Xenopus tropicalis: one gene and its partners. The protein of the gene in region 2 interacts with the protein of the main gene of each other region in a biochemical or structural test. Links are inferred from orthologs where the notes say so. Each region holds a gene or a part of one and is shown on either strand. Other genes may lie near its edges.

Region 1 (4,497 bases), on a different chromosome or scaffold from region 2:
CACAGTACCATAATGGGTCAGAACAACATGCACACCCCGGTACCTGGCCTTACACAGTACCATAATGGGTCAGAACACATGCACACCCCGGTACCTGGCCTTACACAGTACCATAATGGGTCAGAACAACATGCACATCCCGGTACCTGGCCTTACACAGTACCATAATGGGTCAGAACAACATGCACACCCCGGTACCTGGCCTTACACAGTACCATAATGGGTCAGAACAACATGCACACCCCGGTACCTGGCCTTACACAGTACCATAATGGGTCAGAACAACATGCACATCCCGGTACCTGGCCTTACACAGTACCATAATGGGTCAGAACAACATGCACATCCCGGTACCTGGCCTTACACAGTACCATAATGGGTCAGAACAACATGCACATCCCGGTACCTGGCCATGGAATCTGCAGCTGGGACCGGCCCAGAGGAACACGCTGACAAAGCAGGTCATCACTGCATTTATAGCATTGACATTCCCAGCCATAATGACTTTATAACGCCGGTCTGTCAGGGGGGAAACCTGGGGCTACGCCGGTCTGTCAGGGGGGAAACCTGGGGCTACGCCGGTCTGTCAGGGGGGAAACCTGGGGCTACGCCGGTCTGTCAGGGGGGAAACCTGGGGCTACGCCGGTCTGTCAGGGGGGAAACCTGGGGGCTACGCCGGTCTGTCAGGGGGGAAACCTGGGGCTACGCCGGTCTGTCAGGGGGGAAACCTGGGGCTACGCCGGTCTGTCAGGGGGGAAACCTGGGGCTACGCCGGTCTGTCAGGGGCGAAACCTGGGGCTACGCCGGTCTGTCAGGGGGGAAACCTGGGGCTACGCCGGTCTGTCAGGGGGGAAACCTGGGGCTACGCCGGTCTGTCAGGGGCGAAACCTGGGGCTACGCCGGTCTGTCAGGGGGGAAACCTGGGGCTACGCCGGTCTGTCAGGGGGGAAACCTGGGGCTACGCCGGTCTGTCAGGGGGGAAACCTGGGGCTACGCCGGTCTGTCAGGGGGGAAACCTGGGGCTACGCCGGTCTGTCAGGGGCGAAACCTGGGGCTACGCCGGTCTGTCAGGGGCGAAACCTGGGGCTACGCCGGTCTGTCAGGGGGGAAACCTGGGGCTACGCCGGTCTGTCAGGGGCGAAACCTGGGGCTACGCCGGTCTGTCAGGGGCGAAACCTGGGGCTACGCCGGTCTGTCAGGGGCGAAACCTGGGGCTACGCCGGTCTGTCAGGGGGGAAACCTGGGGCTACGCCGGTCTGTCAGGGGGACATGGGCCTATGGGCACAACTCTATGGCTTCTGTATGTTTGCCTATAGGCACAACTCTATGGCATCTGTATGTCTGCCTATGGGCACAACTCTATGGCTTCTGTATGTCTGCCTATGGGCACAACTCTATGGTATCTGTATGTCTGCCTATGGGCACAACTCTATGGTATCTGTATGTCTGCCTATAGGCACAACTCTATGGCATCTGTATGTCTGCCTATGGGCACAACTCTATGGTATCTGTATGTCTGCCTATAGGCACAACTCTATGGCTTCTGTATGTCTGCCTATAGGCACAATTCTATGGCTTCTGTATGTCTGCCTATGGGCACAACTCTATGGTATCTGTATGTCTGCCTATGGGCACAACTCTATGGTTTCTGTATAAATGCTCAGAAGGAAACTGCCAGTGTGAATGACTCCATAAGAAACCATGATTCATATTCCATGTACTCTCTCACACTCAGCTGCACTTGTACTGACAATGCAGGGCACCTAGGCCAGAGGCCCACATATTGTGAAACTACATCTCCCAGCATTCAGTGTGAGCAAAAGGCAACCCGAACAACAGGGTTCACAATTAAAGGACAATGCCAGACAAGGCCAATACTCACTACCATGGATGCCACTGTAAATCTCTGCATGCCAAGCCATTGTGGGCATTTCCTATGGTTAGAGTGGGTACCCATGATTGCTTTTAATACCAGCCCCCCTGTAGTCAGTGAGGAAAGGGGGGCCCATATGGTAAGGACTTAGTAATACTGCTTTTTGAATGCCTAGGCAACCAGCTGTTAAAGAACTACAAATCCCAGCATCCTCTTCAAAGATGAGTTAAAGGGCAAATAAGGTCCAGCCAGAGTTCCAGTAGCCAAGGGTGGCAGTGCCCAGGGCAGATCCATTACATACCCCAATGACCACTCCAGATTTCACGCAAAATACAGTAAAATGCCATTAAAGGACTAAAACTTATTTCACAATCGAGATGCAACTCAGACACATTGGGGCTGAGGAGCCATGTTGGTACCTTGAGCAGGGGCAGAATCCAAAGAGCAGCAATCCTAGTTGCCCCAAATGCACATTAGCCCAGAAAGGGGATTGCGAAGCCTTGAAGGAAGATGGTTGCAGCCCCCAGGCCTGGCCGATAGGGGAGGGGTTGGGCATTTGGGGTTTATTTTAGGGTTCCTGGCGCCCCCACAAGCCTACACAAGTGACTTCTTCCCTCTAATAAGTACCCCCTATACAGGGGCAAGTGGCGCAGGAATCAGGCACATACATGAGCTAACTGCCCCATACAGGGGTACAAGCGCCAGACTCATATAAACTCTATTAATTAGGTCTCGTTATTGCCCTGTAATTAGGGGGCGCACTCACAGCCTGGGCAGGACCCCAATAAGCACAGGGTGTGACCCCAGAAGCACCCAGGGCCCCAAACCAACTAGTTACCCCCACCTAGGGCAAGTAATCCTGCCTCAAAGGGCAATTGCTCAGCTCCAGGCCAAGCCAGAGGGGCCCCTGGGCTCAATGGAACATGCAGGTTAGGCCTGAGGGGTAACTAACGGCAGGAAGTAGCTGGGGTGAATATTACCCTACTTGCCCCCGGAACTCATGACAAACGCACGGAATGCTGGGAAGCACCGGGCCCAACTTGTTGTTGTGATCCCTCCCACCCTGAGCCTTCTGCCCCACGCAGGGGTATCGGGCCTACTCACCGGTCAGTCGCAGCTTCACCGGCCCGTTCCGCCGGGATCCCTGGTTAGACATGGCCCCGGGGAGTCCCACAGCAAGGCTAGGCCCGGGCCGCGGCCTGGAGTACGGAGGGAGGGCGGGAGAGTCAGGCGGACTGTGGGGGCCCCGAGTTACCGACTAGCGCCATCAGCCTGGGGCAGAGCGGAGACAGCACTGAGCCACACGGGCCGGGGGAGCCACTCACAGCCCGGGGAGGAGGCACCGGGGAACAGGGGCGGGGCACAGGCGGGAATGGGGCGGAGACACGGACACTTGTGGGAGGAGACTGCAAGTAGCGGGAGGCAGGAATGTGGGCGGGGCCGGACACTGTGAGCGACGCACAGTCTGAGACTCACCATTACCCAGAGTTCCTCACTGAGAGACACTCACTGAGAGACACTCACACCATTACCCAGAGTCACTCACTGAGAGACACTCACTGAGAGACACTCACTGAGAGACACTCACACCATTACCCAGAGTTCCTCACTGAGAGACACTCACACCATTACCCAGAGTCACTCACTGAGAGACACTCACACCATTACCCAGAGTTCCTCACTGAGAGACACTCACTGAGAGACACTCACTGAGAGACAGTCACACCATTACCCAGAGTCACTCACTGAGAGACACTCACACCATTACCCAGAGTTCCTCACTGAGAGACACTCACACCATTACCCAGAGTTCCTCACTGAGAGACACTCACACCATTACCCAGAGTTCCTCACTGAGAGACACTCACACCATTACCCAGAGTTCCTCACTGAGAGACACTCACTGAGAGACAGTCACAACCATTACCCAGAGTTCCTCACTGAGAGACACTCACCCCATTACCCAGAGTTCCTCACTGAGAGACACTCACTGAGAGACACTCACACCATTACCCAGAGACACTCACTGAGAGACAGTCACACCATTACCCAGAGTTCCTCACTGAGAGACACTCACACCATTACCCAGAGTTCCTCACTGAGAGACACTCACTGGGAGACAGTCACACCATTACCCAGAGTTCCTCACTGAGAGACACTCACCCCATTACCCAGAGTTCCTCACTGAGAGACACTCACCCCATTACCCAGAGTCACTCACTGAGAGACACTCACTGAGAGACACTCACACCATTACCCAGAGTCACTCACTGAGAGACACTCACTGAGAGACACTCACACCATTACCCAGAGTCACTCACTGAGAGACACTCACTGAGAGACAGTCACACCATTACCCAGAGTTCCTCACTGAGAGACACTCACACCATTACCCAGAGTCACTCACTGAGAGACAGTCACACCATTACCCAGAGTCACTCACTGAGAGACAGTCACACCATTACCCAGAGTCACTCACTGAGAGACAGTCACACCATTACCCAGAGTCCCTCACTGAGAGACACTCACTGAGAGACAGTCACACCATTACCCAGAGTCCCTCACTGAGAGACACTCACTGAGAGACAGTCACACCATTACCCAGAGTCACTCACTGAGAGACA
Region 2 (4,793 bases):
ACTGGAAATATAAGCATTTTATTAAAAGGGAGAACATATGGTATTGTGTGCACTAAACAGTCAGATCTGCATATTTCTATTTAGTAAATGCAAACTAGTTTACATTTTCTTTTTCAGTGCAGTGGAAGGGCTTATATTTTTCTCTGCCCTCTTTAGATGTAATCTTTACAGAGTGTAGCATTACGGCTGCTTGTGGGGGCCTGTCTCTGCATGCTGCATTGTTCCTACTGTTTACCTCTTTTTGTTAATTAACTAGATGGAACAATTAACATTTACAGGATGCCCTCAGAGTTTCTGTAATACACAGCAACTTGATTCAAACATGGAAACTGAACTCCAGCCTTGTACATTTACTATGGTTTCAGTAAAGAGGTCAGCTTGCTTGATGACTGTTGCCTTCCCCTGCTAGACAAGGTAGGTTTTCAGATTAGACAGAATTCCATAGAGATCAGGAAGTGTTGGTCCAATTGTTTTTCCCTGCTGTAAAACTCGTAAGTGATATTACACAATCAAAAGTTTAATTACATTAGAACCATTAGAAGAAATGAACAACCATGATACTAAATCATCACCTATGCTCTGTCCAGGCATGAAGATTTAAAAGTGTATGATCAAGTTATTGCAGGGAGCTTGGTTTTAGTTTTATCTTATAAAATGATTAAATGTGGCACAGTTCTTCGGGCTCACAAATACCCACAGTCATACAGTGTTCAAAGGCATAGCAATTCTTCCATGAAGTTCTGAAAGTTCTACCCAACTCTCTATGCGTAGTAGAGAACTCTCCTATTGTGCCAGCCAGCACTTCTGTATATCAGCCATCCTGATGTTATCTAACATATGAAGATTGATATGCAGTTTTGGGCTGCCAATATTGCACTGTAATTAAACAGATGGACTGACGTAATGTTTTTTTTTGTTAGGCAGTAGAAGGAAGCTGTTTAATCCATCTTTGGCCAAACACATAAAGCAAAAACAGGGAGTCAGGTGCACAGATACCAGGCAGAGGTCTTACTGAAGGAATGTCATAAATATATCATACACACAAGTACAAAAAATCCTTTGGCTCCAGGTAAATATCAGTGTGATATCAGCAGCAATGACATTTGTACCAATTTATATAAGACAAAATATTATGTAAAGCGGCTGAAATAAGTATAAAATATGCAAAACACAAACATTAAATAAAGGTTTCATTGAGATTTGACATGTATTTATTTATTTATACATTCCATAGTGGAATGTTTGTGGCACCAACAGAATTTGCAACCACTGTGGCAGAAGGAAATAAAAATTATGGTGGGGGGACAAGTTTAGTCTAAAGCTGGCCATACACTCACTGATAATATCGTACGAAACCCCGTTTACATTGTCACATTTATTCAGTCGAACTGCACACCTGGAACAGACTGAATTCTATTGCCCCAAGTCAAGACTTCAGCATGCCCACATGACAGAACTGTTAAAGTATTGTTATTTTTACAGTACAAAGTGCAATGTACTAGAACAAATACAAATCTGTGCTTGTATAGCAAGCTCCTGATAAATTCTTTTCTAAAAAGGGTGGGGAGCCAGCATCTTAGCCTTAGTAGTTATTTAGCGGATCCTATTAACTACACACATGACAGTATATGTTAACCATCTGTGGTCTGAAAGAGCGTGGTAAAACAAATTGCTCAGAAGTCAGAGAAGAATTTCACCCACCTACTTATTTATAAAAAAAAAATGGGTTTTGTTCTTAATGTTATATAAGCTACAACACATAACTGAAAACAGAGGCAAGATCAATTTCATTAAAAAAAACAAAAAAAAAATCATTGTTGGACAGTAGCATAGGCTCCCATGAAATGTCACAGATATTTTATATTAAGTCCAGATGCTGGCGTTTTATAACTATACATACATTCACTCACCAGTAAGCCTGCCTCTCTATATATACTGTAGATATATACATATTTAAACACTTGTTTATCTGCTGCATCAATCAATCCATCAAATGCAAATAAAACTGTTGTAAGTTATGTAAATAACTGTTTGTAGTTTTTTTAAGTTCCTTGCTCTTGCCTTATGCCCTGTGTGTGGGTTTTGAAGCTGAAGATGAGTTCCAATGAGGGCAAAGTAACTTAAGTCAGAAAAATTATTCACTATGCAAGCTTTTTATCCTTTGAACATATTTAATATAGGGTTTGCAAACCAGCTAAACTATTTAGCAACCCATATAACAGTACAAAAATACTGTGCAGTTTATTGTTTGCATTAGTGCACAGTATAGGTTATAAAGCTTCTTAATTAAACAAAAAAAAATTTGCACAAAAAATATGCCACCTTGCAGCAGGTCTTACAAATGTGTTATGTGTAATTAAAAGTCACAATGCAATATTTGTCTAATGCATAATATTGCAATAATAGTCAAATAATGCATTGCTGAGCACACATTTTTGTTCTTATTTATGCAATTATACCATAGGATGATTTTTATTACATCCACCCACTAAGTATCTCTTTTATAGAGGTGTTTCTGTAACCATTCTACAAGGACATAGTCACAAGTTTATACACAGGGTGACTACAAATGTACACAGCTCACACTCCAGGACAGTCTCTGCCATCACAAAAGCATGTCTTTTCAAAACACAAGACCAATTTCTCAGGATAATTTTGTAATATTGCTGTCACAGCCCACTGAAGGAAAGGGATTTACTTTCTTGTGTATTTCCTGTATCCTTATAGTTCCCATAGGAGGCACAGGGAGTCCCCTTGTCCCATATTCAGACCAGAGGAGGATTACCTGTATCCAGCCAGGTAGGCTCACCCTATACTCCTGGCTACACTCTGTAGGTCACAGGAAATCAATAAGTGGATGTAGAGAGAGGCAATTCACTAGCCAAACCAACACTGCCACTATCAGAAACGCAGAAAGTCTGATAACCCTTTGTGTGCCAGGGCTGGCTTCCCTACAGGCACAGAAGCAATGAAGTGGCAAGTGAATTTCTTTCCTTACCTTTCTTTTCTTCCAGAGAAAAGCAGGACTGACTGACGAAGAAGACGCAGATATATAATCCCACACTCCGGCTAAAAGACCCCATCCCGAGTCTTCAGCTACCCCCAAGAACAGAAATGAGGATGGATCCTTCCTGCAGTCCTGTGCTTTATCTGCTGCCTCTGACACCGGTCTTGTTTCAGTGACCCAAATCCACAGAACGCCTCACATCCATTGTGAACACGATATATACCCACGGGGGAGCGGAGGGAATAGAAGGAAGCTGAGAGCGTTGGACTCCGAGCTTATTGTGGGGCTCTCTCACATGAGACAGTCCAGTGTCTTCTCTTATCTGGTGTATGGAGAAACAGCAGGGAGTAAACGAAGTGCCAGTGACAGGAACTGCTTATCCCTATTTCCACACTCACTTCCCAGGAGTTGCAAAACTTTTGACAGAACGAGCCGGTCTGTGTGAGTCCCTCACGAAAAGAATCTGGCATGTTTGGCTGCTGTGACATCACGGAGAGGTGTGCCTCATTCCACTCCCCCTCCCACAGCCTTCCTCACACTCCAGGACGAGCCGAGCTACGGGCATTATTATCGCTCACTCCTGGCAGAGCTTCATAGGAGCAAGGGAAGCAGCGCCACCTATTGGTCACAACAAACACAATAGGAGACAATTCGCGCAATAATGCAGTTCACTAGCAAATCAGCAGAATCGTTTATATTTATGAGCAAAATATAATTTTGTAAATGCTGGAGTGCTTCAAAAAGTAAAATGGAAGCTGAAAACTACTGCTTGACAAATACATTTTGTCAACAAATACGTTTTAACAAAGCTAAAGTTTGTCTTTCTGCGATGGGCTGTAAAGCACCACGTCTTCCGCTGTCACATGAAACGCCAGATTAGAGTGTTCCAGGGAATCAAAAATGACACCTGTGACTGTTTGGATCAATGCGGTGCATATTAGGTGTCTAGATAAGAAGTTACCATTTAACTTCAAAATTATGGAACGTGTCAATAAAATCCAGGGCTGCAGTGATTGCAATTAAATGTAACATGTATAGGTGTCCCTGAAATTTCATGTGATCTGGTAACCCTGTGTTAAACAACTGAGCCCCCAGCCCTCCTCCAGCCACCCAGTAAAAGCTGGTAAGAGGCAGATGCCTTTTATGAAGGGCATAGAAAAAATCAAAGGGTCCTTCACTGAGCAGCCAGGATGGACCAAGGGATAATGTGGAGTTGAACCTCAGCTGACAGAAGGGCTGCTGTGAGATGCTATAGAGCAGGGATCCCCCGACCTTTTTAAAAAAGTGTTGGGGAGCAACACAAGCATGAAAAATATTCCTGGGGCTGCCAAATAAGAGCTACTTAAAGGAGAAGGAAAGGTTAAGTCACTTGGGGGTGCCAAAATGTTAGGCACCCCCAAGTGACTTAAATTGCATACTTTTTACCCCGGGCTGGTGCCCCTGTTCAGAGAGAACAGCACCAGCCCGGGGTAGCTGCAAGCGCTTCCTCTTCCGTATTCGCTGCACGCGCATGCGCAGTACAGTGAAAAAGCCGAACTTAAACATAGAAGTCGGCTTTTCACTCTACTGCGCATGCGCCGGCCCACGGATTTCGCCGGCAGCGCGAAAATGGAAGGAGGAAGGCTCGCTGCAGGTACCCCGGGCTGGTGCTGTTTTCTCCTAACAGGGGCACCAGCCTGGGGTACAAGGTAAGCGATCTAAGTCACTTGGGGGTGCCTAACATTTGGCACCCCCAAGTGACTTAGCCTTTCCTTCTCCTTTAATAGCCCCAATGTGGACTGGCAGC
Region 3 (4,034 bases), on a different chromosome or scaffold from region 2:
GATAAAGATCAGCGACCCACGTCTAATCTTCTGCTGCATCGACTGATAGGATCTCATAACTGGAAGGGGTATATAATCCCCTAATGCAAATAGAAACTAATGTAGCTTTTGGAAATAATCCGGAAACCCGTTATCCAGAAATCTCTGAATTATGGCAAAGAGTTTGGCACACAAGCTAAAGGGGTCAGATATTAACAAAAGGGGAACCCCCAATATACAGAAAGCTCCAGATAGAGTCTATTATAAACAAATAACTCACATTTTTTCTCTGTAATAATAGCTTTTGCTTGATAGGGACCAATCTGCACGGATCCATATTGGGGGCATAACAATCCTATTGGGTGTATGTAATTTTTTAGGGATCTTTAGCCGACTTAAGGCTTGGTGATCCAAATTATGGAAAGATTGCTTATCAGGGCCAGAACTACGGGTAGGCTTAAGGACCAGTGAAGGCGGTGCTAGTACCTAATCTGGGCCCTTGTCCCCCTACCACCCTGAGGTAATTGCCCTGCTGCTGGGTTGTCAGCGTGCAAATGCCTAGGGGGCCTGGCCAGAAAACTCCAGGTCTTGAGCATTCTGGATAATAGACTCTATACTTGTATATGAATTTTTCTGCCTCTTTGTTATTAATTGTATGCCTGATTATTACAGATCAAAACCGCCATGATTCCCAGATGTACCAGTGGTTGTCGAGTGTACTCTTGCGGGCCCAGCACCCTTCCCGCTTTTGACATCAGTAACTCTGCCCAAGACTCCAGACTACATCCCTGGCTATAAATGCTTTAGTAGAACAACTGACTCCCTTGCACATTTTCGTTGATACTCTGATTTAACCAGTGGTGACTGAGACAGAAAGCCATTAAAGAATAATTTTGCGGTATTTATGCCCTGTCAGACATTGCCCCAATACTACCAGCCTGTGCAGGAGTCTCCAGACTCAACGTGGAGCATCTGCATACAGAAAGCCAGCCTATATTACAAACATAAACACACAGCAGGTGCAACTATACAACAGGTTGGTGCTGGAAGTTGGCTCCATTACTTGCGGAGTGTTTTACCCTAACAAGGAAGTGACTAATGCAATGGAAACTTGCCCCCCCCTCCTCCCCACACACAACTTGCCGACAAACCATAAATCTTCCAACCTGCCCATATAGGAAACATGTAAATGTAGATGTATAAATAGCTTCCAGTACTTTCTCTCATATGATCTTTAAATAGATATGACTTGTGAGATTTGTGAGAACCAAAACCGTGAATCAACGACTTCACTTTATTCAAAAGCGGGGGCCCAAGCGCCAGGTGTATCTATAGAGGAACCAGCCCAATAAACTCTGCTGCTGCAACTCACGTGTTATTGACGATCTGTAGTCTCTCCCCCTTCTTAAAGGACAAGTCTGTCTCGGTGCGAGATTCATAGTCGTACAAAGCGACAAAGGTGGTGACGCCCCCTGCAGATGGGAAAGTGGGAATTATAGAAAAGAAAACAAGAACTTTAGTCCCCCATCAGTTAATAGCAGAATATATTAAATAAATATTAGCACTCCAAAAAGCATACACCCTTGCACTATTGGTGATCACCCTGGGTTTGAATCTCATAATAATAATATAATAATCATATAATGTACTCAAAGGGCTTTTTACCATGATTTTTGCTGTATATCTTCCCTTTAACCATGTCCCCATTTTCCTTTTCCCTTGCTTGTATTAAAGCGAGATTCACTGCAAGTTAGTTTCCATTTGCAGCAAAGGGAAGTGACCTATTGGAAGGGCCAATAACACCAAAATCAAAGCCCAATCCCATCTATTGTGCTCAGTGGAACTGTAGATAATACACATTTATGAGCTATACTGCCCCCTAGACCACCCCACGGAATAAAGGTGGCCATTCACATGCAACTTAATTCAGCCAGATATCAATCAGGCTGGTTTAAAAACCTGTGACAAATTGGTGGCTGCCCATGGGTGGCCCAGATCCACTCATTTGGCAACCTCACCAAACAAGCAGATCTGGCAGTGTATGGCCATCTTAACTGCAGCCAAAATCAAATAAAAAAAAGATAATGCTTTCTAAAAATGGTGCCATATGTTTAAAAAATAGCACATTAGCATCCATATGTAAATGCTTTTAGGGTACTTTCATTTCCTGGTGTAAACGGCCCGTTTACAGCATAAAGTCACATAATTAGGCATTAATGGCAGGCATAGGTCTGTCTACAAGTGTCAGCAATTGAAAATATTTCCAATATTCTGGAACCACAACCTCCATGATTTCCAGAAAGTAGCAGAATGGGAAGTGCAGTTTGAGAATGCCACTGACAGTTATATAAAGCTGATCTCCATTAATGTTCCAATTAGGATAAGACCATGCCCACAGTTACCTGCTAGCGGTCCTATCCGCTGGGGGGAAGTGATGGTATCAGAGAAATTCACCCCTCCAAAAGGCGTCAGGTCACAGTTGCCCCCAAATGGCTGTGCAGGTTGCCGGTGGGAATCCAGGCTCTTGCTGGGGGTCTGAGAGGCAGAAAGGGAGGTAAAAGGCTGGTGGGACCCCTCAGCAATGTCCAGGCTGCGGCTCCGGGGGCCACCTTCTCGCGGCTTGCTTTTAGTGGCACCCATCTGCGTAACAAAACAAAAACCCTTATGTATTAAATCCCCAAAATGTCTACAGGTACTGTATATCTACAGAGGTAAAAAAGCCAATTGAGTCTGTGTGTGTGATCATGGCACAGGTCAGAAATTAGGATTACACAGTACATTCACTGTGTGATCGGCTCAAAGCTCTCAGGATTATATCCACCACAGTGCCTCCAATATATCCACCATACTGCCTATAAATCCATGGAAACAGGAAGCAGGAGCTGCAAAACTGTAAATAATGTTTTATTTCCCTATTTACAGCTTAGATGCCTGACCTGTTGCTGAACTACAGATCCCTGCATCGCCAGAGGGGATGCTGGAATTTGTAGTTTAACGGCAGCTGAACATTACGTGTGCAGTTTGGAAAACCCAGGCTGACAGGGTACAGTGAAAAATACATGAGACAGGAGCCAATTCAGAGGTTGCAGGGTTAAAGCCGTGTCCCACAATCCTATCTATTTTATGGGATATGAGGGGGGTGAAAGTGGATACAAGGGCTCCCAGGGCCACAATGAGGTCACAAACTGCCTGCTGAAGAATGAAAAATGTGCTCCCCCTCAAGGAGAAATAGGGAGGAGGAGTCCAGGGAGAGTTAATTGAATGTCTTGGAATGTGCTATGAAAGCAAGAGAGGGGGAGAGGGGAAATAAATGAAGGGATCTCAGGGAAGACAGGAGGGTGTCAGGATAGGAAGGCAGCAGGTGAAAAGTCTGGTGATATGATAATCATGGGTAATTTGGCTCTCTCCTGGGCATTCTGGGAGTTGTAGTTTAGGAACAACTGAAGAAACCAATGTACATTCTACAAGGACAAAGACGCTGTGTCTGACTTTATGCACCAGCTAATTCTACATTGTCCTTTATTTAAAGGGGCGGGACCAATGGCCCTGGCCCCTTTAATCCCCTCACAGCACCTATTACTCAGACTCAAGCTATCCCATGCCCTCAGCACTTCCCCTTCTTTCTCTCACCAAGCACAATGTCTCATTGATGCCCACAAATGCCACAAAAATGCAGAAGTGAATGGGGGAAAGAGGCAATTAAGGGGCTGGCTGACCAGCGGGACAGACGGAGAATGTTACACAGACATGGAAGCACTGAGCCACCTGAGGAGGTGGGACAGACACTGGGAAAGGGGTTATGGCAGAACATGACTAGGTATGACAGGGTTTCCTCACCTTTCTCTCATGTAAAATCAGCCGGGAAAGCCAGTTTACTCTTAACCTATGGATCAGGACCGACATTTGGTCCACATGGCAGGTGGATCAGAACCAAAAGCCCACCCTAAACAGCATGGGGACCCCTTTTTTAGTCTTGACCTACCCACCCTAAACAGCATAGGGCTGGGGTGTCAAACTCAATCACATAAGGGGGGCGAAATATAAAACACAGGCCG
Region 4 (4,670 bases), on a different chromosome or scaffold from region 2:
AGGTCCTGCTGGGAGTTCTTCAGTTAAGTACTCGTCCCATTTGGTGTAGCCGGCGGGATAGACCAGTAGGTGCCGCGTTGGGCTGTGTAACCAAGTTTTAAAATGGCAAAAAGAGTGCAAATATACCAAGTATCTGCCCAACATAGAGCTGCTTTGGGCCCCCAAAGGGCGGTACCATCGCTGCCAATAGCCCAGAGGGCAGAACTAGCGCACTTGGTAGGACTTTATGGCATAGGGCAGAAGGCATAATGGTATTTCTTTTCAGGGAAATTTTATGACAAGTGATTGAAAGGAGCCAAGAAGCACAGCCTGTCCTGGTGCTTAGTGCCGGGCTGCCCTTTCCAGAGGTGGCAGCAGTGGGGCAGTCTGGGCTAGGGGTATCATCCAAGAACTGAGCCACTGGCTGCCATGCAGGAGAAAGTAGCCAGTACAAAGGCCACTACAAGGGCCAGTACAAGGACCAGTACAAGTGCCACTACAAGGGCCAGTACAAGGACCAGTACAAGGGCCAGTCAAAGGGCCAGTACAAGGACCAGTACAAGGGCCAGACAAAGGGCCAGCACAAGGGCCAATATATGGACAGTACAAGGACCAATACATGGACAGTACAAGGGCCAGTACAAGGGCCAGTACAAGGGCCAATACATGGACAGTACAAGGGCCAGTCAGTACAAGGGCCAGTACAAGGGCCAGTCAGTACAAGGGCCAGTACAAGGGCCAGTACAAGCCAGCCAGACAACTGGAAGGATTTACCTAGACCAGGCAGGTTATCTGCATTAAAGCTGGAACTGCAGTATCTGGACATCTATGGGGTAAAAAGGCACTAATTTGCCCAGGTGCAGTAACCCATAGCAACCAATCAGCAGGAAGCATTTACTGGTCACCTGTTTAAAAGCAAAACTCTTATTAATTGCTATTGGTTACTGCTCCTGGGCAAACTTAGTGACTTTTATTACATATGGGGATAGGGAGCCACTGACCCGGCCCGAGAATGGTTCCAACCTGGGGGATCCACAGTTAAACTAGAGGAACATATGGCCATGTTCTATGAATACATAACAGAATAAATGCAAGGACGTAGTCTCAGAACACGACTGGGTTCTAGGTCCATTGCTTGTACCAATTATAAACCTTAAAAATAGTTTAAAATTTTTATTTATTTCAATCTATTAAAAACATTAACAGCCGGGGCTATCCACATGGGGCTGTTAATAAAGTTTTTACTATTTTTGAGTAGTGCAGACGTTTATAATTGGTACATGTATTACCCATTCTGGTCACTAGGGGGCGATACCTACTCTATATAAAGTGTTTACTAAAAATGAAAATTCCTTTGTTCCTGTTCCTTTTTTTCTAGTTACATTGCTGTCTGTCTGTCACACAAAAATAATAAGTGGGAGGAGTTATATACACCAATTGGAGATCAGATAACTATTGGGAGAGATAAGGGCAATAATGTTCCAGGCAGAATTAGAGAGTCAGCAGCTGAACTCTGAGATTGTAATTGGACTTCTGTATTGCCAGTGTCATTGGCATTGCAATGTTACATGTAACATGGAGCAGTGTCGGAATGGGGTGTCGGGGACCCACCAGGGGGGAATATGATACAGCAGACCCCATAGTCTAGGCTCCCCACAACCATAGTTTTTGCTGTATTGTAATTACCCCACTGAATAAAGGACAGAGATCAGAAGTGTAACTAGCAAATGGGCAAGGGGGTTGGCTTGGATCTGGGCCATGATAAAGAATACATTGGGCTGTCTAACATGGAGCTTGTCTAACATGGAGCTTGTCTAACATGGAGCTTGTCTAACATGGAGCTTGTCTAACATGGAGCTTGTCTAACATGGAGTTTGTCTAACATGGAGCTTGTCTAACATGGAGCTTGTCTAACATGGAGCTTGTTTATCATGGAACTTGTGTAACATGGAGCTTGTCTAACATGGAGCTTGTCTAACATGGAGTTTGTCTAACATGGAGCTTGTCTAACATGGAGCTTGCCTAACATGGAGCTTGTTTAACATGGATCTTGTCTAACATGGAGCTTGTCTAACATGGAGCTTGTGTAACATGGAGCTTGTTTAACATAGAGGTTGTCTAACATAGAGTTTGTCTAACATTGAGCTTGCCTAACATGGAGCTTGTCTAACATGGAGCTTGCCTAACATGGAGCTTGTCTTACATGGAGCTTGTCTAACATTGAGCTTGTTTATCATGGAGCTTGTTTATCATGGAGCTTGTTTATCATGGAGCTTGTCTAACATGGAGCTTGTCTAACATGGAGCTTGTCTAACATGGAGCTTGTTTATCATGGAACTTGTGTAACATGGAGCTTGTCTAACATGGAGCTTGTTTAACATAGAGGTTGTCTAACATAGAGTTTGTCTAACATTGAGCTTGCCTAACATGGAGCTTGTTTAACATAGAGGTTGTCTAACATAGAGTTTGTCTAACATGGAGCTTGTCTAACATGGAGCTTGTCTAACATGGAGCTTGTTTATCATGGAGCTTGTCTAACATGGAGCTTGTCTAACATGGAGCTTGTTTAACATAGAGGTTGTCTAACATAGAGTTTGTCTAACATTGAGCTTGCCTAACATGGAGCTTGCCTAACATGGAGCTTGTTTAACATGGATCTTGTCTAACATGGAGCTTGTCTTACATGGAGCTTGTCTAACATGGAGCTTGTTTATCATGGAGCTTGTTTATCATGTAGCTTGTCTAACATGGAGCTTGTCTAACATGGAGCTTGTTTATCATGGAGCTTGTCTAACATGGAGCTTGTTTATCATGGAGCTTGTTTATCATGGAGCTTGTCTAACATGGAGCTTGTTTATCATGGAGCTTGTCTAACATGGAGCTTGTCTAACATGGAGCTTGTCTAACATGGAGCTTGTTTATCATGGAGCTTGTCTAACATGGAGCTTGCACCAGAGTAATTGTCCTAGATGGTATGGCAATGATACTGATTATTAGAGCCATGGGGAGTTGCAGTTTGACACTGCCATAAGGCCGAGCCCATCCCTGCATTACATAGAGCTTGAGAGATATTTCTGGCATTTCCTTGTTTAGTTCTAAGTAGCAGCCAAGTGTCCCACACCTTGTCCTTGTCACAGGCTCCCCGCCCCTAATCTCGCCCTCAGGTATGTGGCAGAGCAGCGCGGGACGAGCACGGGATGAGGAAGTAAGGTGTTTCCAGCAGGTTGGACTCTCACGTTCATTGGGAGGGAAGGCCCCACAGTCCCTCCATTGCTCTGCTTCCCTCACTTCCACTTTCTTCTCCTCCAACGCCCTGAGAGTGGGGGCCAATGTCCTGACTCAGAGTCATTTCAGGTCACCTTGTCCTCTTCTCCAGGGCAGGCAGAGGTGGGACGAGAAGCCCGAGACCCTTGCTTTGATATTCCCTGGGAACTGGTTGGATGGCAACGCCAAGATGAGCCATCGGCCAAAGCGTTTCGTCAGTCTCTGGGACTTCAAGGCTGAAGCGCCGGAGGAATTAAGCTTCAAAGTTGGAGACGTCTTCGAAGTTCTGGACAGAAGTGGAGACTGGTGGCACGTGCAGAAGCTGAAGGGGGACGGGAAGGGAAAGCCCGAGGTGGGATACGTCCCATACAATTTCCTGGCAGAGGAAGGAACAGTGGAAGAGCAGGAGTAAGTAAGGCAATAATGGGGGGCAATAATGGGGGCAATAATGGGGGCAAATCATGTTATAGGGATAATATTGCTAAAATGCAAGTTAATGACACAGAGAGGTTCAACATTTAGCTAAGAAATGACTCACATCATGAGGTGCCCGGGGCTCTGGGGTAACTGCACTTTCCTGGGCCCCCCGAAATGTAATGTGGGGTAACTGCACTTTCCTGGGTCCCCCGAAATGCAAAGTGGGGTAACTGCACTTTCCTTGGCCCCCGAAATGTAACGTGGGGTAACTGCACTTTCCTGGGCCCCCCCCGAAATGTAACGTGGGGTAACTGCACTTTCCTGGGCCCCCTGAAATGCAAAGTGGGGTAACTGAGCTTTCCTGGGCCCCCCGAAATGCAAAGTGGGGTAACTGCACTTTCCTGGGCCCCCCCCGAAATGTAACGTGGGGTAACTGCACTTTCCTGGGCCCCCTGAAATGCAAAGTGGGGTAACTGCGCTTTCCTGGGCCCCCGAAATGCAAAGTGGGGTAACTGCACTTTCCTGGGCCCCCCCCGAAATGTAACATGGGGTAACTGCACTTTCCTGGGCCCCCTGAAATGCAAAGTGGGGTAACTGCATTTTCCTGGGCCCCCTGAAATACAAAGTGGGGTAACTGTGCTCTACTGGACCCCCCGAAATGCAAAGTGGGGTAACTGCACTTTCCTGGGTCCCCTGAAATGCAAAGTGGGGTAACTGCACTTTCCTGGGCCCCCTGAAATGCAAAGTGGGGTAACTGTGCTTTCCTGGGCCCCCGAAATGCAAAGTGGGGTAACTGCGCTTTCCTGGGCCCCCTGAAATGCAAAGTGGGGTAACTGCAATTTCCTGGGCCCCCTGAAATGCAAAGTGGGGTAACTGTGCTTTCCTGGGCCCCCTGAAATGCAAAGTGGGGTAACTGCACTTTCCTGGGCCCCCGAAATGTAACGTGGGGTAACTGCACTTTCCTGGGTCCCCTGAAATGCAAAGTGGGGTAACTGCACTTTCCTGGGCCC
Region 5 (4,604 bases), on a different chromosome or scaffold from region 2:
TGAAATTATTTTTACTTTTCAAAAAGCTTACATTGTGTTTGGGTGGAGTTGCCCTTTAACTGACTGCTTAAAGCAGGGATCCCCAACCTTTTATACCCGTGAGTCACATTTAAATGGAAAAAAAGTTGGGGAGCAACAAAAGCATGGAAAAAGTTTCTGGGGGTGCAAATAAAAGCTACGATTGGCTATTTGGTAGCCCCTATGTGGACTGGCAGCCTACAGAAGGCTCTGTTTGGCTTTACACTGGATTTTTATGCAACCAAAACTTGCCTCCTAACCAGAAATTCAACATGTTGCTCACGAACCACTGGTTGGGGATCACTGGCTTAAAGAAAGCAATGTTCACTTTAAACACAGCCATTGTATGTGCCACTCAACAGCTATCCCTGTATAGCCGGTAGGAAAACATATGTGTTGCTTCGGCTTCCCAAAGTCGCCTTGCAAGGAAACTTTCAACAGGAAAGCTTTTGGGGAGATTAGTCGCCACTGATACAGAAGATTAATTACTGAGCAACTAACCTCCACGTGTGTCATTGGCCTAAAAAATAAACCTGCTGTTGCACATTATCAGAGGATTCATGGTGCAATGGAAAATAAGGATTTCATGTCAGATCCAAACACTGAAGACTTGGGCTGAAACAAACAGAGAAACAATATTTGGATATATATGTCCATTAAAACATTGTGCACCCATTTGGCCCAAATCCCTAAAAGCTGGATACAACAGAGAAGACAGAGTTTGGAACGAAAAGCTAAGGAAACAATTAAAAGGTTTTTTGGATCATAATAATATCCACTATTAGACATTTCTATTGTATTATCCTCTTAAAGTCTTAAATTCTATTGCCATATCATAAGATGTTTTTTTTTTTAAATTGGTTTAGCTTACCTCTCTCATACACTATTATGGCTTATACCCACAGACATCTGTAGTTACCTAAAAACTGTGGGTTGTTCCTAGAGGGGAGTCTATACTTTGAACAAGTGAATCAAGGTTATTACTGTACCCAGAATTGGAGATAGCAACTAACTCATGACTGCATTCTACCTCTGGGTCAATACCCGTTATGGTTTCTAAATCTTTATATATCAAACTGCAGATTCTAAATACCCCAACGCTATATATATATATATATATATATATATATATATACCCTATAAGCACATACCTGCATTACTTGAGTACTTAACAGTTTGTTTGTTTTTTAAAGATGTTCATGGGAAAACACAGACATTTCCATACTACACTATACCTGGTCACTGAGACTTTACAGAAGATTTAAACAGATCTCCACAGGATATAGCAGGTATAGAAAGGAAATGTTCTGACAGAAGTGCATAATACTGACAAAAGAACTGTGTATAAGTGTAACCCATCCAGTGACTCTTGAGATTTTACTGATGAGCAAATCATAGCTTCCACTGACAGGCGAATGCAGTTTGGGGGGGAGAAGGGTTCTAGGAAACCTTACAGGGGTGCCCAAAAACACAGTCATGGTTCAAAAGCAGAAGGAAATGCTTATCTTGTACAACTTCAAATTTTAGTTGGAGGCACATTTTTTTTTTATAATGTAAGAGTGAGTTCACAACTATTGCGCAATATTTTTACCAATTTACAGTTGCATCACCCCACCAGTTAATAAACATTACTACTCACATGAATATTCATTAAGGGGTTTGTTATACCTGGGCATTACATACATACACACAATATTGTCACACGTAAAAAAATCTGGAAACTTTTTTCCCTTCCCCTTTAGAAGCAGTCATGTACAATACCCAACGGCCTCAGCACTCACAATTCTTTTTGCATTGCAGGCCCAGTAATAACTGGACTGGGTGAACAAAGGCAGTTGAGTTGGAAATACGTTACAGCTTTCCTTTGCAGTATTTGGTTGATGGGGGGGGGGCAAGAAAGGGTGATGTCAGAGATGCTGGTGCTAATTAACAAACGATTACAGTAATGTGAAGTTAGAAAACACATTGCCATTTTTCCCCCTAATTCTACTTTTAGCCAACTCTGTGTATGTACACAGCAGTATCTATGCCAATTTGTTCCATAGAAATAAATAGGTTTATAAATCCTGGTACCTGGCATTGGTGGAAAGTTCTGTGGCCAAATCAGGCTGCACATATAAATGACATCTCATACAAATGTGAGCTGAACATGATATACTTATACCACTGTCCTTGGCAAGACCCATTTCATGCCGGCAACACTGCTGTGTGCCCTATAAACATATTCTAAAGTGCAGCTTTCCAGGACTTAAGTACAAAATGTTCTGTGGCATGACTAAAGCCTGCTGCCACCTAGTTATTAAACTGTAGAATGTTATGAGATCACCCTGGCATGTGGTTAGGTGCAGAGAGGAACTGCTGTGAAACGTGAGCTGGTAGCATAGTAGCACCTCAGAGACTTAGCACTGTGCCACAGGAATGTCCTGGGATGGGTATATAAGGCCATTTGACAGAATTGCTTATGACTGCATGCCGGTGTCAGGCTGCTAACCAAGAAATGACCTGCTAATGTGACCGGTCCTTTAAAGTGGAATATTGATCAGACACACTGGCCAGTATTTACCTGCTGGAAAGGCTGTGTTCCTTCCGAAGCCCCATGGTGCTTCAAGCCATAACTCTGCATGAGTCCTTCAAGGGAGGAAACCAACCCTTAAAATAAAGAACGCTTTAACCATTCATCATTTCCGCCAGGAGACACACAGAGAAGGCAGTTACTTTACATGTGTTGTGGCTAGATCCCAGCCCGGAGACGGTGACTCCAGCCAGGGAGATCCCGGTGGGGGAGGGGTGCTCAGGATGTTCTTTGCGGCAGATCCCCGCGGGTATACCCACAGCACACGTTTCCCATGCCGAGATCTGTTATGTAAAGGAAGGAGGAACGAGCCACTACTTGTCCTGCACTGGCCTCTGCATGTAGCGCCGAGAAGGCAGCCGGAGCGGGCTCACTGGGGGACAGCACTGCCTGACACATGGGCCGCCATGTAGCGCCGGATTCCCCGGCTGATCCTGCAGATCTCCGCTTCTACTCGCCGCTAACAGTCCCCCAGCCCTGAGCGCTGTGCAATCCCTGATGCAGCGGTGACAGCAGGCAAAGCGCTTGCGATCGCCACTTGTGTCAGCTCCTGCTCCACGTGTTTGGGCTTGAGTTTGGGCTCAGCTGGAGCAGCAGGTGGCGACGGACAGGGCACAGTACAGAGCAGGGCTGCCCAATGAAGCCTCAATTAAATGCAGCGCTCTCCTCTTCCCTCAGGGCGAGCAGCACAGGCGCGCATCATTCCTGCTAAACCGAAAGTGACTCTCAAGCCCCTCTCTGACCACAGGGGGCGGAGCGACGGTGCAGCCAAACTCCTCCTCCTCCTCCTACTCACACTAGCCCTGCTGCTGCGCCTGGGATTCCTGACATTAACGTCCCACCGCCCCTGCATTCAGCCTCTGCCCCGGCACTCTGCCTTAGTAATAGTTTTTAATTATGTGTATGTATGTATATCTGTATTTATAAAGCGCTACTTATGTAGGCAGCGCTGTACAGTAGCATACATTAATACCAACAGGGGGTTATTAAGATAATAAATCGATACAAAGTATAACAATAAATACAAGATACAGTTGTAATAAGTTAAGAGTCAAAGACACAAGAGGATAGAGGTCCCTGCACCATAGAGCTTACAATCTAGATGGGAGGGTACCTTACAGATACAAATAGGCAAATATAAGTGCTGTAGGTCACAGTGGGTGACACTACAATATAAGTGCTAGTTCCCTGGTCAGGTGCTGGGTAAGTGCTCCAAAAGGCAGTCTTTAAGTTTAGTTTTAAAAAGACTGGGGGAGCATTCTCTCCGGAGGAAATCAGGGAGGGCATTCCAATGCGATGAGATGGGAGTTAGGGAGGCCAGTTAGTAACAGGTTACAGTAGTCAAGTCAGGATAGGATGAGACCATGCATGAGCAGCCTAGCCATTGCAGTAGAAAGGGATGGATTTTGGCAATATTGCGTAAGAAAAAGTGACAGATTTTGTCAGTGGTGTTAATATGGTCAGAAAAGGAGAGACAGGAGTCAAAGACCCCAAACAAGGAGGTGAAAAGACAGGGTTGATGAGGGTGCCATCAATAGAGATAGTAAAGGGGGGCGGGTAGGACCAGGCTTAGGTGGAAAGATCATTAGTTCAGTTTTCGTTAGGTTCAGTTTGAGGTTCTTCAGTTCTTCAAACTCTTTGCAGCTTTCAAATGCCAAAAACTATTGCTCTGTGAGGCTACAGATTTATTGTTATTGTTACTTTTTATAACTTTTATTTCTATTCAGATCCTCTCCTATTCATATATTAGTCTTTCATTGAAGCCACTCCCTGGTTGCTAAAGTAATTTGGATCCTAGCAACCAGATAGCTGTTATAACTCCAAAATGGAGAGCTGCTGTACAATTATTAAAATAATTAAAAAACTACAAGTAATAAAAAATGAAGACCAATTGCAAATTGTCTTGGAATATTACTCTACCTATAACTCAAAGGTGAATAACCCCTTTATCTGTCTCCTCATGCTCCATATATATATTGTACTTAGCTAATTTTGGATTTTACCAATCCCCGTT
Region 6 (4,034 bases), on a different chromosome or scaffold from region 2:
TCACACTGAGAATTTTAGACTAGCAAACAAGCACTGGTGTACATACCTTGATGTCCCTGTTCCTACCCAGAATACAACTGTGCTCTCTGGTTCTCTGGATGAGCAGAATGATTCCTGTATCCCACAAGACAACTGGTACTTAAAAACTGTGAAGCTGGGGTCATTCATACGATGGACAACTGATGAAGCTAAAGGCCGCTATTTTGAATAGAGAATGAAACAGAGTTCACAAAGCAGCCTGAGTTGTTGCTCTTGATTTACATGAATGGAATACTTTCAGTTATAAGAACAGACCAGAGGTTACAACTGATAATGACTTAATGTGTCAGTGAGGCTGTATTCAGAAAACAAATACTACAAGTGAAACATGCACTCAGTAAATACTAAGGCAAATATTGCTGGCTTGTGGAATTGTACCTTTTCAGGCTTCGTGTCCCAACATTCCATCATCAGGTCCTGCAGATGATGGAAGTGAACTTCCTCTGGGCGTCCAAGAACTGGACGAATCCCCTTGGACAGTTTCTTGGAAATCTGCAGCTGGTGCTGGCCCAAAGATGGTCTCTGGCCTGACAATAGCTCATACAGGACCATACCATATGAAAACATATCCACCTACCAGAAAAGAAAAAAAATGGAAGCACTCAACATGGTATAGGCATAATAAGCAGCAGAAGCAAGAAACATTGTGGAGAGGCCACAAAGGCCCGGGCCTAGGGCGGCACAAATTTGGGGGCGGCATGCCGCCCCGCCGCACCACAATCTTAAGCTTTTTCATCCATATGGAGCAGTGGGGACCTCTCCCCCACTGCTCCATTTGCAAATGTTTACACCCTGCATGCACGTTGGGGAGGGGGCGGTGCCGATTGCACGTTCACGCATGCGCATGGGGGGGGTGTGCTGATCGTGCACATGCGTGGAGGGCGACGGACAGGGGCGGCAGGATTACAAATCCGGCCCTGCCTACGGCAGAGACTGAAATAAGCCAGACTGAGCCAATGTTTCATGGTAGGATAAAAAGGCTTGCATTAATATAGGAGAGGAGGAAGGGCTCTCAGCCCTTTAAGCTAGCTACAGTGATATTTGTAAAGAATTCCTTTTTGCTTTTTTAGATATACCTGAAAGCCCAGCTTGAAGCTAAATTAGGGCTAAAACTATGGCTGAATAGTTAAAAAGTCCAAACTGTAACCCTGTCATGAACTAAGGTGGTCCCTGATAAGAGGTTGAACCTCTGTGGGGCTCTTCAACCAAAAACATCTGGCATCCACTGGTTTAATATCTAATAATATCTAATAATGCTAATAGGGCAGCTTGAAAATATACAGGAGGCTAGATGTGCAAGACTAAGTGCAATATTAAAGAAGTGTAACAGAACAGAGCCATGTACAGTACATGTTATTATAACTGCCTTACATAAAAAAAAAGTTATTTATTTGATCAGAAAACAAATATCAATCTCACAGCTGACCCAGTTGACAGTTACCTTTTCATCATACACAATCCGAGGACGGATTTCGGGTGCTTGATATCCTGGGGTGCCTTCCACACCCAGGGCTCCCTCATGGAATGACAGCCGCGAAATGCCATAGTCTGAGAGTTTGATTATCACAGCTTCCTTGACATCCAGGGACCAAACCAGGATGTTATCTGATTTCAGGTCACAAAATATTATATTCTTTTTATGCAGGTAGGACAGCCCAGATGCAATTTGATAGGAAATACGCTGAGTGAGCATGTGACCAAGAGGCATGAATGAACTTGCATCTATAAGATAAAGACAAATAATTAGTTCCCATTATATCATCCAATGATTTTGGTCAGTCGCCCCTTCAATAACTCTCCAGATTAGTCTATTGTGAGCTACACTTCTTGCTTGGGTTCACTACGAATGGTGATGCTAATGCTAATAAATAGTTGAATATGTCCAAGACAAAAAACATCATATTTCCTTCAAAATGATGGCCCTTCCCTCCATTCACTCTAAACCCAGTTACCCAGGTAGGTGTCGACAGAGACCTGTGTGGACCTGTGTGGGTCCAACTGGTAAGATCTGCACCCTACTGGAAGATCCACACACAGACCAGCAACTTGCATTTTTACCCTTAATCCGATGAACAAATGCTTTATCTACATCATAATCCACTATCACCTTACCACCATAAAACTGAAATCAGTCTGGAATGATCCGCCTCTTCTTGCATCAAACAAGATCTCATATTAACCATGTTCTCAGTGCCCCTTATCAATTACTTTATGAAGGAAGAATTGCAATATGGTTTATTTGGGTTCAGGAGTGCCTGCCTTTCATTGTTTCGATTTCCATACTTTTTTGTTGGGCCCTTTTAAAGTGCTTCTCTCAAGTAATGGCATGCTAGCTATATGTTCAGGTTCTCATGGATGTATTTGGATGTTAGCACAGCAACACAACATTAAACTTTAAAATGTTTTATATGGACTCGGCAGGACTTGATATATTTATTATAAAAATGTTGGTTTACTTATTTTGGCCCACTTTCAGTTTCCTGTTTTCTTCTTTCAAATGACACCATATGATTTGTGGGGATTAGTATGGTGCCATTTTTTCCAACATGCATAATCATAACACTGACCCTTATTTGAAAAAAGAGGCCAGAAGGATATAAATGTCTGCTGTATATACATGGCAACGAGATCATTATTTGCAAGACCAAACAAACAAAAAAATCATGCAAAGAAAATTCCTACAAATCTTCAAGCTATGAAGCTTTTAGCCTCCAATCATGTGTGTATGGAAGTGTGGGTGGAATTGCACAAGGGACTCAAAGCACATAAACATGGTTAGTAACAATTTTGTGGTCTGTGCAGTGAACTGATCCCGGATGTAGTGGTAGTCACCTTGGGCTGTTCCTGCCAGCACTGTGTTGAGGCTCCCCAAAGGTGCCAGCTCCAGGGCAAAGCACAGTGGATGGATGCTGATGCCAATCAGGGAGACAATGCAGGGGTGCTGCAGAGTATGGAGCATGCTGGCCTCCTGACGGAATTCCGAGAAGTTTCTCATGGCGTCCATTGCCTGCAAGTGCTTGAACATGGTGTCTGGAATAGGTAAGAAGAAATGTTTCCATTAAGGCTCAGTGATCAAAGGTTTTGCATATTCTCACCATCTGGAACTCACAGAGTTCAAGCCTAGTTTATATGACTTATCTCTTTATTGTATCCAGTGACATAACAGCCCATCTGCCAACATTTAAACATTTGGGTTATAAAGTCTGGAAGCCATTAGTGCCTGAACCCAAAGCATAATTAAAGAGTTAATGTAAAAGCAGTTTAACAATATTCAGTGATATCCAGCGTGCCTCAGTGGTAGCAGTAAATATGGCAGCTGTCATTTCTGTATAAATACCAATATTAAGAGAATGTCTTTATTATGGAATATAAGTGAAAGCACTTAGCATTCTAGATTAATTACAACTACCATGACTCACTGATAGATCCACAACATAGCATTGAGCCACTGAATGTGTAAGTGTTCATGCAGCATGTATTAAAATTAAGGTTTGAGAAAGGTTTTGACACTGTATACCAGCCCTACTTGTGGGAAGTTTTTACCACTTATGGCTTTGGGCCCAGATTCATGGGTTGGGTCAAGGTCCTCTATGCATGACACCAAACTAAGGTCCTAGCCATTGAACCCTTGGCAACTCAGATAAGTCTGAACAGAGAAATTGCGGGGTTTCGATTAGGAAACTTGGTAGAGAAAGTGTCATTGTATGCTAATGACATGCTTTTATATTTGGCAGAATCTAAAAACTCTCTCCAAGCTCTGATCTGGCTATTAACAAAATTTGGTAAATATTGTGGACTTAAAAGTTAACTATAAGTCCTTAATCCCACCAAACAAGCCCATACAACTGCGTTTCTGAATTTAGATATTTAGGAATATGGATCCATATGTATGTAAAAAAGGTATCACCCAGCTATGGGAAAGAACCTTGGTCTGGCAAAATCACCCCTTTAGAAGTCAACCTCCTCAGGTGAGCAACCCAGGCTGGCCCTGCAGA
Region 7 (4,034 bases), about 59 Mb from region 2:
TAAGATCTGGGCTGCTGCTGAGAATCTCAACTTTTGTGTTGTTGGAAATCTTTAAAGCATTAGCAGGTTATATACTGTATGTCTTAGCAGAATCCCCTGGTTTCTGTGCTGCCATGAGATGTCAGTCTGCATCTGCATTATATATATATCAAGAAAGGGTACTGCACACACAGGGACTTAATGCAAAGAAAAAAAGTGTTCATTGAAAAAAATCCAACATTTCAAGCATGGTCTGTGCTCTTCCTCAGGGACAAACCAACAGACTATGTCCCAACAGCCACATTAAATACCCCCCCACCACATAAAAAGTCCCTGTGTGTGCAGTACCTTTCTTTATATTTTATGTTTTACCTGCACCCAGGTTTTGTGAAGTGTGTGCTCCTCTCTGTTCATATATATGATATATACTTTCACTCGTTAGTGAGGACCGCTAGTGGGACCGAAACGTCAGTTTCCCTCAATAAAATTTGCTGTGGATATTATTAAGTCTTGAGGAGTGTGAGATTTTTCAGATGGTGATTATACATATTTCCACACTGCACCCAGGCGAAGTATTCTACTTATACGTGAGTGCCTACCCTCCAATATATATATATATATAATGCACTTATCGAAAGTTTGTGAACCCTTTCAAATGTTCTATATTTTTATATGAATGTGACCTAAAACATCATCCGATTTTCAAAGTCATAATATGAGATGAAATAAACCTAGTTGATCAAATGAAAGAAAAGGCATAATAATTTTTGTTTAATTTGTTTCACTAGGTTTTCTTTATTTAGTTTTAGGATTTGTTTGAAAATAAAATGATGTTTTAGGTCACATAATATAAAATATGAAAGGGTTCACAAACATTCAAGCACCACCGTATGTGCACAAGGGTATTTTACCACACACATTTAATGCCATGAACTGAGACTCTTTACCCCTTTTATTGCCACACAGCTGAGTATCACATGATTTTGCAGATCACTATGCTTCCTATTTACAACAGTTATAAATATTGTGAGCCAGGCAATCACTTTTTTAGGGAGTCACAGTTTAATATTATAGGCATCCTTAGTATCTGTTAGCAACCTGGCACTATCTTATTGTAAATAATGGAAGCAATTTGTTAGGGTAATAAAACAGAGCCCTCGATTGCTGGAACAGATCTTACCATTTGTCTGTTTTACAGCACATTAAAAGCAGAGCACATACCTTCCCTTGCAGTGTACTCATTATCTTCAATTACTCGGGCAAGACCAAAGTCAGCAATTTTGCACATTAAGGATTCTGAAACAAGCACATTAGCGGCTCTCAGATCTCGGTGGATGTAGTTCTTTTTTTCTATATAAGCCATGCCTTCAGCAATCTGTGGGAGAGATTATTAGGTGGTTAAGAGTACCTATAGGAGCCAGTCATAGAAGCCATTAATCTTTTGGAATTTAAAGGAACACTGTCATGGGAAAACATGTTTTTTTTCAAAACACATCAGTTAATAGAGCTTCTCTAGCAGAATCCTGAATTTAAAGTGCAAACTGTTTTTGCTATGTTTAATTTTGAAATGTCACATGGTGCTAGCCATATTCTTCATTTCCCAGGGTGCCACAGCCATGTGACCTGTGCTCTGATAAACTTCATTCACACTTTACTGCTGAGTTGCAAGATGGAGCGATATCACCCCCCTCCCAGCAGCCGATCAGCAGAACAATGGGAAGGGAGCAAGATAGCAGCTCCCGGTAGGTATCAGAATAGCACTTAATACTTTAGCATCTGCTAAACTGAAATGAAAAGTTCTTGTGCATGATTCGTAAAACTAAATGTACAATATTTGTAAGAAGGTGTTAATCTGGCTGCCATGACAATGTGCAAATCTCTTTAAAGGTTTCAATACAATGTAAAACGAGGAAATCTGAGCCGTGGCTAATACCACTGTTGTACAGATAGCTGGAAAAACAGGTTGAATATGACACCAGAATGTGTGCAGTGAAGAGGAAACCATAGCTAAAATGTATATTTCAGTTAAACCCATTATACAAACAAGCTCCCCAGTAAAACCAAAATCCTGTTGCTCACTGATTATCTACATTCCCAGTGAATTAACAGCAAAAAACCATTTAAGTCCAAGATAATTTACTCTTCTACTAAATAATACATACATATATGGAGACAGGGGTACCCCCATAAGACAGTGGGAGTGCTACCTATGTTTTTTGCTTGGTGAAACGCCCCATGAGCCATAGCCCTTGAACAGCAATAAATACAGGTATGGGACCTGTTATCCAGAATGCTCAGGACCTGGGGTTTTCCAGATATGCGGTCTTCCCATAATTTGGATCACAATGCCTAACGTCTACCAAAAAATCATTTTAACATTAATTAAACCCAATAGGTTTTTTCCTCCAATAAGGATGAATTATATTTTAGTTGGGATCAAATAAAAGGTTCTGTTTTATTATTACAGACAAAAAGGAAATTTTAAAAAGAAAAAATAGGATTATTTGCTTGTAATGGAGTCTATCGAAGATGAACTGCCCGTAATTCAGAACTTTCTGCATAATGGGTTTCCAGATAAGGGATCCAATACCTGTACCTTGTACTTGATTCCAGCTAAGATATAATTAATTCTTATTGGAGGCAAAACAATCCTAATGTGTTTATTCAATATTTAAATAATTTTTATCTGACTTAAGGTATGGAGATCTAAATTACGGAAAGATCCCTTATCCGGAAAACCTCAGGTCCCAAGCATTCTGGATAATAGGTCCCATACCCGTATAAGGATTTATTTATTTATAGATTGATGTAATAGGTTATTCACTCTGAGCTGATGGTGTGTGTGGGGCACCCAGGAGCAGATATAACAAAACTCAAGGCACTGATAATCAACTTGGAAAACAATGGCAGGTGTGACTACCGTACCTGAAGCAGGGGCCTAAGTAGCCCCAAAAGCTTAGTTAACCAATTAAAACTCTGACCTACTATATATTTTCTAGTATTATTCAGTCTAACATATGCTTCCTCTCCCTAACTTGTCATCTGCTTATTTTCAGATATACCCCTTCACTGCTTCTTTCTCAGATGCACAAAGTATCTTATTCTGCTTAACCTGAAAGGCGTCCATCATGTTCAGCCCACAAAGAATAACTCTGAACTCTGAAGCTCTACACACGGCAGATATTGTTAGCCATCTTTTGTCTTTAGTCATCCTTTGACTATAGTGGCCAACAGCTGCCCATGTATACATATGCAGAACCAAGGAGGTCCTACCGAACATGCTGGAAAATTCATGAGGGAAAACCCACTGATGCCAAATGCTTACTGGGCCTCTGCCATTTGATCTGGTGGCTGCCTGTACTGTCAAATCTGGCTGAAAGTTTGTAGATAACCTGGTCTGTCCATTTAGCTGCTAGGAGTAGCCATTTTCATATGTGGATATGGAACTCATTTAATAATTACAGTAAAACATTAAAACTATATTATGCAATAAATCCTGATGAATAATATGTTTGAAGTTCTGGTCCTTCTTCATGTACATATAACAAATACAGTATATAGTAAACCTAAAGGTTCCTGGGCCAAATTCATTGCTTTAAGAGGAGGCTACATGTGCACAGACCATCATGCAGTTTGGTCAGTAATGGACTATTGTAGCCCCCCCTTTTGTGCCCCCCCCCCCATCTGTCTGGCTGCTGTGACTGCTTACCTTTGTGTATGTTTAAATGGTATCAGTATTAACTGCCTTCCTGCATTGTTCACACCTTAGATTAAGGCTGTAAATTCCTTCACTGTTCACACCCACTGTATTGTTCACACCTGTAAAGTGCATAGTCTTGATAGGTCTCCCTGTCTCCTTCTCAAGCATGCCTGTGTCATATTCTGCTTGCCCTATGCTGCCTGTGTGTACCATACTCTGCCTGCCCTATGATGCCTGTGTGTACCATACTCTGCCTGCCCTATGATGCCTGTGTGTGCCATACTCTGCCTGCCCTATGATGCCTGTGTTTGCCATACTCTGCCTGCCCTATGCTGCCTATGTGTGCCATACTCTG

Evidence for each region.
Region 1: the proteins of egfr (region 2) and smurf2 form a complex in vitro, tested with the Homo sapiens proteins (2 studies listed by BioGRID, with this or other methods). The link is inferred for Xenopus tropicalis from reciprocal best matches to the Homo sapiens genes EGFR and SMURF2.
Region 3: the proteins of egfr (region 2) and src form a complex in vitro, tested with the Homo sapiens proteins (6 studies listed by BioGRID, with this or other methods). The link is inferred for Xenopus tropicalis from reciprocal best matches to the Homo sapiens genes EGFR and SRC.
Region 4: the proteins of egfr (region 2) and ptk6 form a complex in vitro, tested with the Homo sapiens proteins (2 studies listed by BioGRID and IntAct, with this or other methods). The link is inferred for Xenopus tropicalis from reciprocal best matches to the Homo sapiens genes EGFR and PTK6.
Region 5: the proteins of egfr (region 2) and sh2b3 form a complex in vitro, tested with the Homo sapiens proteins (2 studies listed by BioGRID and IntAct, with this or other methods). The link is inferred for Xenopus tropicalis from reciprocal best matches to the Homo sapiens genes EGFR and SH2B3.
Region 6: the proteins of egfr (region 2) and lrrk1 form a complex in vitro, tested with the Homo sapiens proteins (2 studies listed by BioGRID and IntAct, with this or other methods). The link is inferred for Xenopus tropicalis from reciprocal best matches to the Homo sapiens genes EGFR and LRRK1.
Region 7: the proteins of egfr (region 2) and lyn form a complex in vitro, tested with the Homo sapiens proteins (2 studies listed by BioGRID and IntAct, with this or other methods). The link is inferred for Xenopus tropicalis from reciprocal best matches to the Homo sapiens genes EGFR and LYN.

The regions. Positions count from the first base shown.
Region 1 is NC_030686.2:51,425,793-51,430,289, reverse strand, and holds the start of smurf2 (E3 ubiquitin-protein ligase SMURF2), read right to left. Parts: upstream 3,270-4,497; 5' UTR 3,030-3,269; coding exon 2,978-3,029; intron 1-2,977. UniProt on the Homo sapiens protein: E3 ubiquitin-protein ligase which accepts ubiquitin from an E2 ubiquitin-conjugating enzyme in the form of a thioester and then directly transfers the ubiquitin to targeted substrates.
Region 2 is NC_030682.2:56,743,487-56,748,279, reverse strand, and holds the start of egfr (epidermal growth factor receptor), read right to left. Parts: upstream 3,105-4,793; 5' UTR 3,084-3,104; coding exon 2,999-3,083; intron 1-2,998. UniProt on the Homo sapiens protein: Receptor tyrosine kinase binding ligands of the EGF family and activating several signaling cascades to convert extracellular cues into appropriate cellular responses.
Region 3 is NC_030686.2:39,466,161-39,470,194, forward strand, and holds part of src (proto-oncogene tyrosine-protein kinase Src), read right to left. Parts: intron 2,620-4,034; coding exon 2,382-2,619; intron 1,452-2,381; coding exon 1,352-1,451; intron 1-1,351. UniProt on the Homo sapiens protein: Non-receptor protein tyrosine kinase which is activated following engagement of many different classes of cellular receptors including immune response receptors, integrins and other adhesion receptors, receptor protein tyrosine kinases, G protein-coupled receptors as well as cytokine receptors.
Region 4 is NC_030686.2:1,941,713-1,946,382, forward strand, and holds the start of ptk6 (protein-tyrosine kinase 6), read left to right. Parts: upstream 1-1,542; 5' UTR 1,543-3,145; coding exon 3,146-3,651; intron 3,652-4,670. UniProt on the Homo sapiens protein: Non-receptor tyrosine-protein kinase implicated in the regulation of a variety of signaling pathways that control the differentiation and maintenance of normal epithelia, as well as tumor growth.
Region 5 is NC_030677.2:163,245,802-163,250,405, forward strand, and holds the start of sh2b3 (SH2B adapter protein 3), read right to left. Parts: upstream 3,030-4,604; 5' UTR 2,582-3,029; intron 1-2,581. UniProt on the Homo sapiens protein: Links T-cell receptor activation signal to phospholipase C-gamma-1, GRB2 and phosphatidylinositol 3-kinase.
Region 6 is NC_030679.2:115,749,546-115,753,579, reverse strand, and holds part of lrrk1 (leucine-rich repeat serine/threonine-protein kinase 1), read right to left. Parts: intron 3,070-4,034; coding exon 2,872-3,069; intron 1,762-2,871; coding exon 1,481-1,761; intron 613-1,480; coding exon 418-612; intron 199-417; coding exon 47-198; intron 1-46.
Region 7 is NC_030682.2:115,678,625-115,682,658, reverse strand, and holds part of lyn (tyrosine-protein kinase Lyn), read right to left. Parts: intron 3,489-4,034; exon of another isoform or gene 3,036-3,488; intron 1,722-3,035; exon of another isoform or gene 1,682-1,721; intron 1,355-1,681; coding exon 1,201-1,354; intron 1-1,200. UniProt on the Homo sapiens protein: Non-receptor tyrosine-protein kinase that transmits signals from cell surface receptors and plays an important role in the regulation of innate and adaptive immune responses, hematopoiesis, responses to growth factors and cytokines, integrin signaling, but also responses to DNA damage and genotoxic agents.